Linked DNA regions of Stegostoma tigrinum. The protein of the gene in region 1 interacts with the protein of each later gene in a pairwise test. Links are inferred from orthologs where the notes say so. Each region holds a gene or a part of one and is shown on either strand. Other genes may lie near its edges.

The links. The genes of interacting proteins can lie anywhere in the genome.
Region 2: the proteins of nudt21 (region 1) and myosin light polypeptide 6-like interact in binary tests that used the Homo sapiens proteins (3 or more experiments, as listed by UniProt). The two-hybrid records come from large-scale screens. The link is inferred for Stegostoma tigrinum from reciprocal best matches to the Homo sapiens genes NUDT21 and MYL6.

What each region holds. Positions count from the first base shown.
Region 1 is NC_081369.1:10,280,736-10,288,673, reverse strand, and holds the start of nudt21 (cleavage and polyadenylation specificity factor subunit 5), read left to right. Parts: upstream 1-4,867; 5' UTR 4,868-5,009; coding exon 5,010-5,122; intron 5,123-7,938. Other genes in the region: amfra (autocrine motility factor receptor a), read right to left, coding at 1-26. UniProt on the Homo sapiens protein: Component of the cleavage factor Im (CFIm) complex that functions as an activator of the pre-mRNA 3'-end cleavage and polyadenylation processing required for the maturation of pre-mRNA into functional mRNAs.
Region 2 is NC_081404.1:1,493,653-1,501,319, reverse strand, and holds the start of myosin light polypeptide 6-like, read left to right. Parts: upstream 1-4,580; 5' UTR 4,581-4,684; coding exon 4,685-4,687; intron 4,688-4,766; coding exon 4,767-4,794; intron 4,795-6,506; coding exon 6,507-6,650; intron 6,651-7,264; coding exon 7,265-7,438; intron 7,439-7,667. Other genes in the region: hat1 (histone acetyltransferase type B catalytic subunit), read right to left, coding at 1,532-1,538. UniProt on the Homo sapiens protein: Regulatory light chain of myosin. Does not bind calcium.

The sequences.
Region 1 (7,938 bases):
AAACGCTCAAGGAAAAGGAGCGGCATGGCGAAGCTGATGGCTGCGCTGCCGTTACCCCAGTGACCTGGCTTGAGACGGCACCGAGATTCCCGTTAACGCTCGGGCACGCAGAAACGGTCCCGTTCTAACTCGAGCCAACGATATCGGTGACGTCAGCACACAGGATGGGGGGAGAGCGAGCCGGAAACAACCTCCGGAAGTGACGTACTGAGACGACGCCGCCGGACGGAGAACCTCCCGAAGTGACGGGGATGTCGGATCGCACTGTCATGGAGATAGTCTCCATGGTTACCGAGTCAGTTAGTCATGCCTGCAGTCATCAATAACAGCTCTTTGGAGGACGGTATTAACAAATATACATTTTGACGCATTCCTTACTAAGCTTAGAGTTACAGAATTCGCTCATAATATTCTGAAGTAGTTATTATAGGTTTAATCATCATTGCTGGTGGCATCACCCCGGTCTCGTGCCGTCTGCTGCTGAGACCCTTATCCATACTGTTGTCCTCTGTTTTTCAGTATTACAGTTTCTCTTCTCAACTATCCCGTCCTCTTCGAACTTAAACCAATCCAAACTTTCGCTGATTGCTTGCATCATGTTCTGTTTGCCCATCACCTAACATGCTCACCAATCTGGATTCAAACACAGTAGTTGCGGGAAAAGCTCAGCAGGTCTGGCCGCATCCGTGAAGAAGAAGTAGGATTTCGGGTCAGGCGACCCTTCCTCAGAACTGTTGTGGCTTACTGTGATTTTTCTTCACAAATGCTGGCAGACCTGCTTCCGCTTTTCCTGCAACTTCCGTTTTTGTTCCTGATTTACAGCCTCCACATTTCTTTCCGTTTTCACCAATCTAGATTAGCTTGTTTGAATAGTAAATCCGGAAATGGATGAAAAGCTATCTTGCCCAGCCTCAGTTTCATCTAAATCCCATCCCACCTTTAGACTTCCTTTCTACTCAGAAACTCACTTCCCATGTCTATCATTTCCCAATTCCCTGGCTGTTCGATGGCCCAAGATCTCTGTTATCACAATGGCCCAGGCTCAAATTTCTTTCTTGACTGTTGCAACCACTAACTGATGTTTTCATGAAACATTAATCAAATAACTCCCTCCAACCCAGAACATAGGAACTACAATTATAAAAAAAACCCTGTTTAATCAATGAAAGGCCATGTAAGAGCATGGAAAGAAAAGGAAGACTGGAAAGGAAATAGAAGAGAAAGGAGGTGAAGGAATTGATTTACTGAAAAATTAAGCAAGAACAATAGGCAAAAAAAGAATGAGGCAAGCAGAGAGATGGACAAGTGGATTGTTCACAATTGGTACGCTGGTAAAATGGAAGGACACTCTACTTTCACAGATGTTGCTGCCATGCTGCATATTTTCATGGACACTGGCAAAATCTAGATTATTTGGGTTAGTCCTGCATTACAGAATCTCTGTATAAGCAGTGCTGAATGCTTGGAAAAAGGTTCTACAATGTCTCCAATGTTTACTAAACATGGGAGCAGACGTAAACAAGGTTTGATGATCTGAGAAAATATGCCAGGATAAGACTTTACAGTGTTACCTTTGTTAAAGTAGATGAGCAAACTATAATAATGACAAGGTGTTTGATTATGATATGTTATATATTTAATGCTCTCATTAAAAGCACACAGCAAACTCATAGCTCCTCCAAACATACACGGGCAATAACAAAGGACATAACTTCCAGCTGCAACTGACATCATGAAATTGTGTCATAATTACATTTAAAAAGTCCGCATATAATTCTTCCAATAAATCAGGTGAAAAATACCTGTGCACAAGGAAATATGAAATAAACAATCGGGCACTTGAGTATTGCTGTCATTGCTTCTGCCAAATGTCAAAATTGCCTTTTTTTCTAACAGAACATAATCACGGTTGGAAGCATGTCCAAGAAAAGTGAATGTTAAAATGTAAAGTTCTTGGGTGCATTTGAAGAATCAAAATTCAAAATTATTTGTACTATCAGCATCGAGAGAAAGGTGAAATTAGATTAAATCAAGCTCAGGGTTAGGACCGAAATGTTCCTGTAAGCCTCTATCTAATCACTCTTTGGCAGAAAAAACATACCCTCAATATCAACTCATCATTTATTACCACAGATGTACCAGTCATGCAGCTAGCATGATAACTTACATTCTTCTTATGCTTATGTAGCTATTCGATGAGTAAAAAAGAGATCTTGAAGCTAGTGCTGCACACTAGTCTACATTACTCATTCTGATGTTTCAAACACTAACCTGTGAACCCATTACAAAGTGGGGGAACATAATTACTGAGCTTCAGTCCAAAGCACAGTGTGAGTCAATGAGGATGAATGAGCTGGTGCAGCTCATATCTTTCCTTGGTTGGACAAGTAGAAATATGTACTTCAAGGGGTCTATTTATAACAGAAAGATGAAATCTGTGCATGGTCCTATTATGGGGTTATTTGAGATCGTCCAAAAGATCCTGCAAGATCTGCCAAGAATCATGAAGAAATCAACAGATCACAGTTAAGTTGTGCAGAAAGGATACAATCCATCATGCAGTGTGCGGCAACTCCAAAACATGAACTGACCGGTCACAGTAATGGTAATCATCTGTATTACTTGTTCAAATAATCTGCCTTCTTGGAAGTGAAACCTAAATATGAAGAAAAGATAAAGCGCCTTTCACATTCAAAGGACATTCCAGATGCTACAAAAATAACAAATTAATTTCAGAATGTCAGTAGCTCTGATCATGTAGGCAAATACAACGGTGAATATTCTCATTTGCTGAATACTAAATGTTAACTATGATGGGCAAAAAATCTCCAGTTCTTCTTTCGACTGGTTCTGTAGAACATATGATGTCTGTTTAAATAGGCAATGGCCAGGCTTAAGGGATGGAGATTGGGAAAGACAATAAGATATGATAGCTTCAGTCTACCTAAGTTTAACAGGATGCAATTGCAATTCGAAATGCTGACTGTTAGACAAACAACGTGACAGGACTAAGATAGTTGATTGGAAGAACCAGGGAGAGATAGATCAAACATTTCACCGAGCAACCTGAGAAGTACATCCAATGAAAGAAGATGAAAGAGTAATGTGGCCAAGATACATTCATGAGGCAGTCTGGAGCTAATGGATAAGTAATTAAATGTGAATCTTTTGGCAATTGTCTGCTAGGCAACCATGGTTCCATTCAAAATCGTTCCCACTGCAGTGGACAACACAGGAATGGAGGAGTTACATTAGCACTTTAGTACCATTAAGGGACATTATAAGCTTACACATTCAGTGAATGCAATCCACGTAGACAAACAGAATTTTCACACAAGGTACCACAACAGCAAGTAATGAAGACAAATCAGCAGGTTAAAAATTGAAAGAACTGCAGATGCTGTAAATCAAGAACAAAAACAGAAGTTGCTGGAAAAGTTCAGCAGGTCTGGCAGCATTTGTGAAGAAAAATCACAGATAATGTTTCGGGTCCGTTGACCCTTCTGTTGCAGATAGAAACTCTATGTTGAATACCATGTGGATCTGAGTAATGACATGCCTTCAGTCATAATTATCATTATAATGTGTTGACGTTGGTCCTGGGTGCTTGCCTCAGGTCCCTGCAGTTTCACAACTTGTTTGGGTGTCCCAAAGGTTCCCAAGCGGAATATGAGTTGCTGTTCCTGCAACCTTCGGGTGGCATCATTGTGGCACCGCAGTTAGCCCATGATGGAACCCTGCAGCCCAATGATATCAATGTGGACTTCACCAGCTTCAAAATCTCCCCTTTCCCCACCGCATCCCAAAACCAGCCCAGTTCGTCCCCTCCCCCCACTGCACCACACAACCAGTCCAGCTCTTCCCCTCCACCTACTGCATCCCAAAACCAGTCCAACCTGTCTCTGCTTCCCTAACCTGCTCTTCCTCTCACCCATCCCTTCCTCCCACCCCAAGCCGCACCTCCACCTCCTACCTACTAACCTCATCCCACCTCCTTGACCTGTCCGTCTTCCCTGGACTGACCTATCCCCTCCCTACCTCCCCACCTATACTCTCCTCTCCACCTATTTTCTTTTCTCTCCATCTTGGGTCCGCTTCCCCCTCTCTATTTATTCCAGAACCCTCACCCCATCCCCCTCTCTGATGAAGGGTCTAGGCCCGAAATGTCAGCTTTTGTGCTCCTGAGATGCTGCTGGGCCTGCTGTGTTCATCCAGCCTCACATTTTGTTATCTTGGATTCTCCAGCGTCTGCAGTTCCCATTATCACTGTTAGTTTTATAGTTTTGTTTGATTCAGCACAGTTTTTTTAAAAAAAATTCTTGGAACATGTATTATATATGTTCTTTGCGATATAACCATTAAAGTTTTTTTTAAACTTCGCCTGGGGCAGGCTGTGGTTTAATATTTAACCTGCACGATATCACTGCAATAATGCAGCGTCTCTACCAGGAGTGCTTTGATCCTGCGAAAACAGCTTATTCCAGAATAAAGGGTTGCAAGTTTCGTCCGAATGTGCCAAACCCTCACTGAACAAAAGCCTGTATTTCGAATGATAAGCTACGAAAATGAGACCTATCTTACACTGCAACCTCCTCCCCAACTGCTGTGTAAACGCTGTTCCCCACACCACCCCCCACCACTTCAGCTCTGAGGAGGAGTCAGCCAGACTCGAATCATTAGCTTGCTTTATTTCCACGGATGTTGCTTGAGGCCCTGTAATCGCCAGCTTTTTTTTAAATTTTCCTTTCAGCGATTTCCCGGACATGCTTCTGTCAGCACTGACATCTCTGCCACTTACTCAGGAACAGGACAAGCCTTCTGCCCCTCAACACTGCGATACTGCCCCCTACCGAGCGTTGTTTCCCTGACCCGGAAGTGTTCCCTGACCTGGAAACGTGGGTTTCGGGTTAAAGCGCGAAGGCGGCCTTGTTGATCCTTGTGTGTGTGAGAGAGGGAGAACCCGTTCCCGACGCTGCACTGGGTCCCGTACCTTTCATCAGCTTGTTGCTATGTCTGTGGTTCCGCCGAGCCGCTCGCAGGCGGGCTGGCCCCGCGGAGTGTCTCAATATGGGAATAAGTACCTGCAGGCAAAGCCGCTAACCCTGGAGAGGACCATCAACCTGTGAGTATCCAATACACTGGATTCTGTATATACCTCTGTCGAGCTAGTTTCATGTGAACTTGAAAATAGTATATTTAAAGTTTTAAAAAAGTTGCAGATGGAATCCAATTCTTGAATACCGTGTGGATTTGAGTAATGACTTGCCTTCAGAAGTAGTTATCGTTATAGTGTATCAGAGATGGTAGGAACTGCAGGTGCTGGAGAATCTGAGATAACAAGGTGTGGAGCTGGATGAACACAGCAGGTGAAGAAGCATCAGAGGAGCAGGAAGGCTGACGTTTCGGGTCTAGACCCTTCTTTCTGCCTCTCTGATGCTGCTTGGCCTGCTGTGTTCGTCCAGCTCTACACCTTGTTATCTGTATCGTTATAATGTGTTGAGGTTGGTCCTGGATGTTCGCTTCAGGTCCCCGCAGTTTCATTTTTTTTTGGGGTGTTCCAGCGTTCAAGTACAGATTTAATATTAAGATTTTGTTCATTTTAAGTCTGTCTGACATGAACTGGTTTTTGTAGTTGTCTGATCTCGTGAATTACTTGTTGGTATCTAGCCATGTGTCTTCAGCCTAGTAACTTGAGAGCTCATGAATGGAAATAGTTTATTGGACTTACTCCAGTAAATTTAATTGGATATCAATGAAATGAGTGGAAGTTACTTTCACAAAGAGTGTGAAATGGCTGTGTTTCAGAGGATTGTTTCAAATTTATCCATGAACTTTGCAACCAATTTAGAATTCTTGAGTAAAAACAAAAATATGAAAAAACAAATTCAGGTAATACCTCTGGCCTAGAGGCCAATCTACATGTTCCGGTGAAGCTGACTTGTTTGTTATAGTGTAAAGTGGTCAAGTGTATTCTTGATGTAGTCTTGTCAAACAGCTCTAGTGGAATAGATAGGCTTTGTTAATATCAGCTATTTCTGTGGTGTTTTTGGTACTCAGGTTTCCTAGATTATGGCATTAAATTGTCTACAGGGTACCTAAGTTTACTGTAAAACAGTAAATGAGAGAGTATATGCAAATCAAGCCACTGATGCTGAAGACATTAAACTGTTACAATAAACTAAAGTTGGGCATTTGCAGGTTAATCAGCACTATCAATTTGAATTTTCAAGAGTGTAACCTTTCTTCTTCTTGAGATTTAGCCACTGCCTTGAACGTTTGTAAAACCTCTTTCTTCTTGAGACAGTGCTGTTTGCATAGGAGTTCTCAGCTTTGCATGCAGCGGTAGTGAAGAAGCTGTGCAACAGTTCAGGCCTTTTGGCCCATCATGTTGTGCTGACCTATTATCCTACTCTTGAGGTCAGGATGATGTGAGACTTCGCTCGTAGAAGTGATCCTTTGCCCTGGCTCTCCTAAGTGGTAGAAGTGGTTCTGAAGATTTAGTCAAAGGATGCATTGCTACCTTTGCATCTGATGGGTACCAAGTAAGTAATCCGCGCCATCTCAGACGATGGCTATCTGCTTTCATATTGAGGTTTTGTTCATTCCAGGCAAGTGGAACAAGGGGAGGTGATAGTCTAGTGGTACTTTTGCTGGACTGTTAATTCGGAGACCCAGATAACATTCTGGGGATCTGAGTTCAAATCCCACCATAACAGGTGGTGGAATTTGAATTCAATAAAATATCAGGAATTGAGAATCTAGTGATGACCATGAACCTGTTGTCAATTGTTGGAAAAACCCCATCTGATTTACCAATGTCCTTTGGGGCAGTAAACTTCCATCCTGATCTGGCCTGGCCTACATGTGACTCCAAACCCACAGCAATGTAAGATAATGAAATGTGAGGCTGGATGAACACAGCAGGCCCAGCAGCATCTCAGGAGCACAAAAGCTGACGTTTCGGGCCTAGACCCTTCATCAGAGGAAGGGTCCAGGCCCGAAACGTCACCTTTTGTGCTCCTGAGATGCTGCTGGGCCTGCTGTGTTCATCCAGCCTCACATTTCATTATCTTGGATTCTCCAGCATCTGCAGTTCCCATTACCACAGCAATGTAGTTGACTCTGAACTGCCCTCTGGGCAATTAGGGATTGGCAATAAATGCTGCCTAGCTCACGACACCCTCATCTTGTTAATGATTTTTTAAAAAAAATTCCATTACACTCTGACTTACAGATGGTGAACAGACTGTGAGAAACCTTGGACCTGCCCTTACAGCTGCTGTATTTATGTAGCAAGTCTGTTAAGCTTTTGATCAACAGCACACTAACTGGAAGCACTTGGACTACCACTTATTAAATGTCTTGCTGAAATGCTTATTCATTTATGGCTGTTGGAAGTTCATGCCCATGAATGACGTTGCAACCAAACTGCAATTTGTACTTGCCACTAGCTGAATTTCTGTAGGGGTCCTTGATCTCAAGCCATAATCCTTTGAGTGAATAACCTTTTTTTTTGAATGATGACAAAATATTACCTCTTCTTCCTGCCAATATCTAAATGATTGCAGTCTAACTAATCTGTTGATAGTGATGTGATAACGTTTTTCTTCCAGTGACTGTGACTTTGACCTTAGCTGGGGCACTGATGTCAGCCTCTGTTTAAATATATTGCTGTTGTGCATATTGAGGTGCAGAATTTATATTAACTCATGTTGGGTGCTTTTGAAATGTCAGTTTCTACAGCTGGATACTGTACTTTGAGATATGGGAAACTGTAAGAATAGAGGAAGAGGCTTTGTAATATACCATGCATCATATCAGCTGCTATTGTGTTCTCTTTACCTAAGTGTGAAGTTATTGATTTTGTTTGCAATAACAGAAAAGCAACTTAGTATCTAAATGGAGATAAATCCAGGATGCTTTGGTGCATGAGATCTG
Region 2 (7,667 bases), on another chromosome or scaffold:
TCCAAAGCTCCCTGGATGACGAAAGAGATAGAGAAGACAATGAAGCAGAGAAAGTGGCCTATGACAGATGTCAAGTTGATAATACAACAAAGAACCAGCGAGTTTTGAGAAGATTTGTAGCTCAGGTTGAGGTTCTGGATATGAGTTTGCTCGCTGAGCTGGAAGGTTAGTTTTCAGACGTTTCGTCACCATTCTTGGTAACATCATCAGTGAGCCTCCGACGAAGCGGTGGTGTTAGGTCCCGCTTTCTATTTATCTGGTTAGGTCTCCTTGGGCTGGTGATGTCATTTCCTGTTCTTTTCCTCAGGGGATGGTAGATGGGCTCCAAATCAATGTGTTTGTTGATGGAATTCCGGTTGGAATGCCATGCTTCTAGGAATTCTCGTGCATGTCTCTGCTTGGCTTGTCCTGGGATGGATGTCTTGTCCCAATCAAAGTGGTGTCCTTCCTCATCTGTATGTGAGGATACGAGTGATAGTGGGTCATGTCGTTTTGTGGCTAGTTGATGTTCATGTATCCTGGTGGCTAGCTTTCTGCCAGTTTGTCCAATGTAGTGTTTGTCACAGTTCTTGCAAGGTATTTTGTAGATGACGTTCGTTTTGTTTGTTGTCTGTATAGGGTCTTTTAAGTTCATTAGCTGCTGTTTTAACACCTATACAGCGTATTCAGAAAGAATGGGTACCCGACGAACACAGTCCACCGATTCCTCAGCAATAAACCCAAACAAACAGACAAAACGGGCTCAGAAACCATTACCACTCTCCCCTACATCAAAGACATTTCTGAAATGGGTCTTGACATACCCATTTACCACCAGGTGATAGAGATCCCCAATGCTCCCTATGTAGGAGTCCTCTCTCTTTTCCCATTGGGGAGCTGGGGTGGAGGGTGACAGTTCCTGAGGGATCTTTTCGCTTTTATTTTATAAGAGCGCGGGTGAGGGAAGAATGTGAATGTACAGTCAACGCAGGAAAGGGACAGCTTGAAAGGCAAAGCTGCTCTGTCCTTGTCCAACATTTCTCGTGCTCAATCCGGAACACTAGCACACATAACAGGAGTCACTTGCTTCCACCAAATCTGAGCATTTCTGAAAGGGGGAGGGGGCGTTCTCGCCAGTATTTCCTCCTTCCCAAAGGAATCGATTTGGAAGTTATCGATCATTATTACACTATCGGACTTGTTGCGAATTGGCCGGCGGACGCTTCGAAACTACTTCAGTGGTTTTAGAACACGCAAAGACACGGCGGGGCGGGGCGGGGGTATAAACTCGCTCCGGAAATTGAAATCTTAATTCCAAAAGGGAAAATAAGTTAACTTTAAACAGTGAACGATTCAAGTACAGATCACCAGAGGGGGACAAGTCCCCATTACCAAGGGCCAGTTGACACATTGACACGGTCTCGAACGAAAGGACTGCCACGACCAATTCGTTTCGGCCCAGAATCCGAGAGTGCCGCAGTCATGGAATCAACAGCCACGCCAAGACATCAGCCCGCGCTTTTTTTTCCGCCGAGTCGCAGCATACACTCACCCGCCATATCAGCCTCTGGGCGCCGCTACTGCTCTCAGGCCCGAGACAGAGAAAGGCCGAGGCCAATCCCGAGCCTATGCTCAACTCGTACTGTCTGGAACCGCGGCACGTGACTGAGGGCAGCGCGCGGGAAAGTCGATCACAGAGCGGTCCACCTGGAGACCCCGCCCACCCGCTGGCCCCGCCCGGGAGGGTCAACTTGAACAACATTCATATCCAAATTCCGGCCTTTAACTTTAAATGATGACCCTTGCTTCTTGTTTCCTCCACAAGAGGAAGCACTCTCACGGTATGCATCTTGTAAAGTTCCTTCAGCATCTTACATGTTTCAATAAGATCACCCCTCATTCTTCTAAACTCCAGTGGACTGGGGCCCAGCCTATTTAACCTTACTTCACACTCTAATGTCTAAAATGAGTCGACTGAACGTCCCTTGAAGTGTTTCTAATGCAGTTATTATCAATTTTTGTATAAGGAGACCACACACAGTACTCCAGGAGTGGTCCTGTACAGCTACCATAAAACGTCCCTTACTCTTGTGTTCAATTATTTTTGAATAAAGACCAAAATTCAGTTAGCCTTCCTTGATGTACCTTCAGGTTATTTTCTCGAGATTGATGTACTATACCAGGGTGTCAGAATTCCTCTGAATTTAGTAATACCTTTGTGCTTTCTTGTAGCATATGAACCTATTGAGCTACCTCAAGCCTGATATCACCACCAAGTCCATCTTTCCCTCTACTGTTAGGTACATAGCTGGAGCAGTGTCATACCATAGCTGGTATGAGGGTGGGGGTGCTCCATTGGTGTATGAGTAGTGAGGGCTAACGTGTTGTTCATAAAATGTTGGAATGAATTATTTAGGAAGTAATAGAACATTTCAAAACTCATAATCTAATTCAGCATAGTCAGTTCGGCTTCGTGAAAGGGAAATCATGCCTGACTAATCCATGAAAATTTTTCGAGGAAGTCTCAACCAGAGTAAATACAGCAGTACCAGCAGATGTGTTGTATTTGGACTCCCAGAAGATGTTCAACAAGGTACCTCAAAAAAGGTTAAGTCATAAGACTCTACCATGTTGGAGGTAGTACATTGGCATGGATATGAGAATTGGCTCACAGGCAGGAAACAGCAAGTGAGGTTTAACGGACTCTTTTTCAGGTTAGTGAACTATGATCAGTGGAGTTCCACAGGGATCTGTGCTGGGATTGCAACTGTTTATGTATTACTGATTTGGAGGAAGGAGGCCAATCTACTGTAGCCAACTTTGAAGACAACACTGAAATAGGTGAAAAGGCAAGTTGTGAAGGGATGCAAACAGTTTGCAGAGTGATATTGATAGGTTAAGTAAGTGGGCAATGGAATATAAGGTGTGAAATGTAAAGTTGGAGGAACACAGCAGGCCAGGCAGCATCAGAGGAGCAGGAAAGTTGATGTTTCTGGTCTTCAGAAAGGCCCTGACCTGAAACATCAACTTTCCTGCTTCTCTGATACTGCCTGGCCTGCTGTGTTCCTCCAGCTCCACAATGTGTTATCTCTGACTCCAGCAAATGCAGTTCTTACTATCTCAAAATGTGAAGCTATTTATTTTGGAATGCAGAACAAAAGAACAGTATTATTTAAATGGGAAAAACTGCAGAAAGGAGCAACGCAAAGGGCCTTGTGGGGTACTTGTGCATAAAGCACAGAAAGCTAGTACACAGGAAGGTGCAATAGGTAATCCGGAAGGAAAATGGAATGTAGTCCCTTATTTCAAGGGGAATATAGGAGTAGAGAACTCTTACTTCAACTGTGCAAAGTGCTGGTGAGACCACATCTGTAAGCAGTTTTGGTCCCCTTTTCAATGAAAGATACCATTCCATTGCAGGCAGTTCAGAGAAGGTTCACTAGGATGATCCCTAATATGGAGGGATTGTCTTATGAACAAAGGTTAAATAAAACTGGCACTCTACTCACTGGAGTTTAGAAGAATGAGAGGTGATCCCATTGAAACATGTAGGGATTTTTAAGGGGACTAGACAGGGCAAAGGTTAAGAGGATGTTTCCCGTTATGAAGAGTCTAGAACAAGAGGATATAGTCTCAGAATAAACAGAGGCTGAGATGAGGAGGAATTTCTTCTCTGAGGCTTGAGAGTCTTTGGAACTCCTTGCCACAGAGAGTTGTGGGGAAACCTGTTGTGTATTGAAGGCTGAAATAGTTAGATTATTGATTGGTTGGGGAATCAAGAATTATGAGGAAAGGCCAGGAAAGTGGACGTTAGAAATGCTGGAACAGCCATGATTCTATTGAATGGAGGAGCAGGCTTGAGAGGCCGAATGGCCTACTTTGGTTCTTATTTCGGATGGGATTCTCTATCTTTAAGGTCTACCTGCCTTTCCTGGTCATTTTCCCAGGCCACAGGAGTGTTCTCTGTTTTGCAGGTTGGCCTTTTGTGAAAACAAAATACTTTGGGTGCTGGAAATCCAAAATTAGCTCAGAAAATTACATTTTCATTTTTATTTTTGTCGTTTGCTATTCTGTTGTGACTTCATGTGGCCAATATACAATTTTTGTTTTACAGCTGTCTTCAATTATGAGCTCCATTTGCTTTGCTTTTAAGTCAAATATGATGGTTGTGGGCGGGTTGGGGGATAGATTGTGGACAGGGAAGTGGGTTTGAGGTTACAATCAGATCATTTATGATCTTTTTGACTGGCAGAACAGGCTCGGGGGGCTGAGTGGTCTACGCTAGCTCGTGATTCTTCGGTTGGTTTCATTTAATCCATTTTATCTCTTGTCCTCTCGCCTTTTGTTCATTCCATTCTTTTCCCTACCTCATGACTTATTTAGAGGCTGTTCATCTCTGATATACTTCCGACGAAAGGCCATCAACCTGAAACCTTTGGCTCCTCTTTTTCTCGTACTGTCTGACTTGCTGAAAATTCCAGGAGATTCATTTTTCCAAAAACGGAATTGGCCATTTTGTGCTTTTGACGGAGAAGGGATAAGAATACCAGTCATTCCAGAAGTACTGCCGGCCCATTGGTCGGTGTAGAAACCGACAAGGGCGGTCCCTGATTGGAGGAGGATCTGTCAATATCCGGTGTGAAGATCACAAAGAGAAACAGAAGGAACAAGCGACGTGGACTTGGAGCAACAGTAGGAGTACAGGATGGTGAGTGAATGAGTAGCTGATGGTGGGATATGGCTCCCACACCCCACAACTAACATTGTTTTTCTTCCTCTTTTTGCAGTGTGATTTCACCGAGGATCAGATCGCCGGTAAGTTTCTGTCTTCAGTTTCTGATTGGCTATGGGAAGGGATTTTAGCCTGAACCTATACCGGCAGTAGTTTGCTAATTCTCCCGCAGTGGAGGAGGAAAAACTCTCAAGAAGTCACTGACGAAGGCCTAGATGCACCTTGATCTCGCCTTGCACGACCCCCCCCCCCCAAAAAAAAAACTGGCCTTGCTTTCCTTACTACGAAAGCCGGAAACCGCGCCTTTTCACTCCTTCCCCCGTCCGCCCTAGACTGACAGTACAAGCTCACTCCAAATAAGGACAAAGATCCCTCTCGCTCAGCGCGGCTGTCGACAGCCTGGTTCCAGCCCTCATTCCTCAAGTGCGTCTACTGGTTTAGCAATCTCCCTGGCTGTAAATTCAGACCACGACGTCTAAGTTTTGATTACCTCGCATTAATTTGCGTTGCTTACTAATCCATTCCTTCGCCGCTTCATAACTGCTTGAGAAAAGCAAAGCTTGAAGTATTTACACAGCATGAAATGCATGAATCATTCGTGCATTGGTTACGGCATAGCTAACTCAGTCCCATTGCTCGGCCCGTACCCCTCGCAGGCCTCCAATTGTTCTTCATTTCTTTTTGAAAGTCTTGATCGCGTTTAATTTCAGCAACCTTACCCCAACCCCCGAGGTACGGACACTACCACCACCGTAATTCACCAGTCCCTTTAGCTTCGAAGGCTCCCCACCGTTCACAATGCGTGCAAGCTTTGTGTTAGCTGGAAAACTTGAAACTGCGCGGTCGGCCTGAAACGTCGACTTTTCTGGCCCTTTGCTGCCTGACCTGCTTCCTCCACTGTATTGACTGTCTCCAGCATCTGTTCTTGCTATTCACAACGTTATTATTTCCATGAGACAGAAAGCTTCCAGTTGAACTGAAAAGTGTCTTGAAACTCTTACTGCAGTTTAATAGGACTTCGTATTTGCCAAGCATTTTATTTCATGTGGGCAACTTACTTTTAAACTGCAGAGAAAAATATTCTAGTTATATTTATCTCATCATGCTCTCCACTGAATTGCAATTCAGTGAACAGTCAACAGTAGCTCCCATCTTGGGGGTTCCTGTATTCTTGTTTGCTATGTAGTGACTGTCTCAAGGTGCCTTGCCTCAGTTTATAGTTTCCCTTGATCAGCAGATAGGTCTGTTCTGACAATTCTTGCTCCTGGCCAAAATAAGGCCAATCTCCTGGACTGGAATCATGTTTCTCCCTCCTGCGTTTTGATTGTGGCAGCTTGCAAAGCTAAGTGACCTGGTCTCTCTGACCACACCTAACTGTCGCCTCTCTTAGATGTGCATTGATTTGTAGGGATGATTGTAACTTGATCTTAAAAAAAACTTGCTTTCATGCGATTTTGTTGCTAATCTTATCCCATGTCTTTCCTCATTAGTTGGCTGGTCAATTTTTAGGTGAATAGCCAGTATTGTGATGGTGTCTCAATTTTTCTTAACACTCTAAACAAATAGATTCTGCCCTTGACTAGTCAGGGACATCCTGTCTCTCCACAGCTAATCATTGTTATGACCACCAATTGTCTGTCTAGAAAAGCTTGTATTCAGGATTGTTTGTGTACTCAACTTCTTCTCTGTCCTAAATCTCTCAAAATTTAATCTTGTGACTGTCTGTCTCCTTTTGATTCTGTTTGCCTGTTTAAAGCTGCATATTCTTTGAGTAACACTTTTTTTTTCTTTTCAGAATTCAAAGAGGCATTTTACCTCTATGACCGCATTGGTGAAGGTAAAATTGGCTACAACCAGTTTGGTGACGTCTTGCGTGCTCTTGGCCAGAATCCATGCAATGCTGAAGTCTTAAAAGTCCTTGGGAACCCAAAGCCTGAAGGTAAGGACCAGAAGGTGCTGTAATCAGGGAAGGGCTAGGAAAGTGGGGATGTTTTAAGCCATGAGAAGATTTTGAGGTGACTTGCACAGGATGAGGGAATTCTGTCATACACAGAAGCTAGTGGTGATTTCCCCCTTGGAGCAGAAGGTTGAAGATAATAGGCTTTCAAAATTGTGTGGAGTTCAGACAATTGATTTTCCCCATCTTCTGTGTCCACTGGTTGGTAATGATATGATGCATTTTTTTTTAGTAAAACGAAGTTGAGTAGAGAAACTTTTTTTTTGGCATAGTGAGTTATGGTGTGGTGTGCTGCATGATAAAGTTCTGGAAGCAATTCCATTACCTTTTCAACAAAGAAATTAGATAAATAATTAAAATAAGTGCTTTATCCATATTGAATAGGTTTGTTAACTTTTTTTAGTTTTTGTTCCAAAGTTTGGTTTTTTCTGTATCTTGCTGATCTAATTGGATAGACATTTTGTGCTCTTTTTTTTTGTCAGGATTCCAGCATGTCTCCTTAATTGATTGCCCAGCAACAACTTGGTAGTTTGCATGTCTGTGACCCAAAGTAATGGGGAACAAAGACAGAAGTAAACTTCTTTTTCCATTTTCAGACATGAATGTGAAAACATTGGACTTTGAGCAGTTCCTTCCCAAGCTTCAGGACATTGCAAGAAACAAGGAACCAGGAACTTTCGAAGACTTTGTTGAGGGTCTGCGTGTCTTTGATAAAGAAGGCAATGGCACAGTCATGGGTGCAGAGCTACGTCATGTGTTGGTCACTCTTGGTAATGTTTCATCTATTGTGGTCACATTTTAGAATATAACCATGCCAAACTCTATAGAATGTTACAAAGCACTTGTGAGCATCTTATTTTGTTAAATGAAGACAGACCCAGGATGGTTTTTGCTTCACTCTTCTGTGACTTTACTGCAGTGTTGAAGGATCAGGCTAATTTCTGGATTTTTAAAAAAAAACTTCTGTTTTTTCATTTCTGAATGTAAATTCTCCCAATT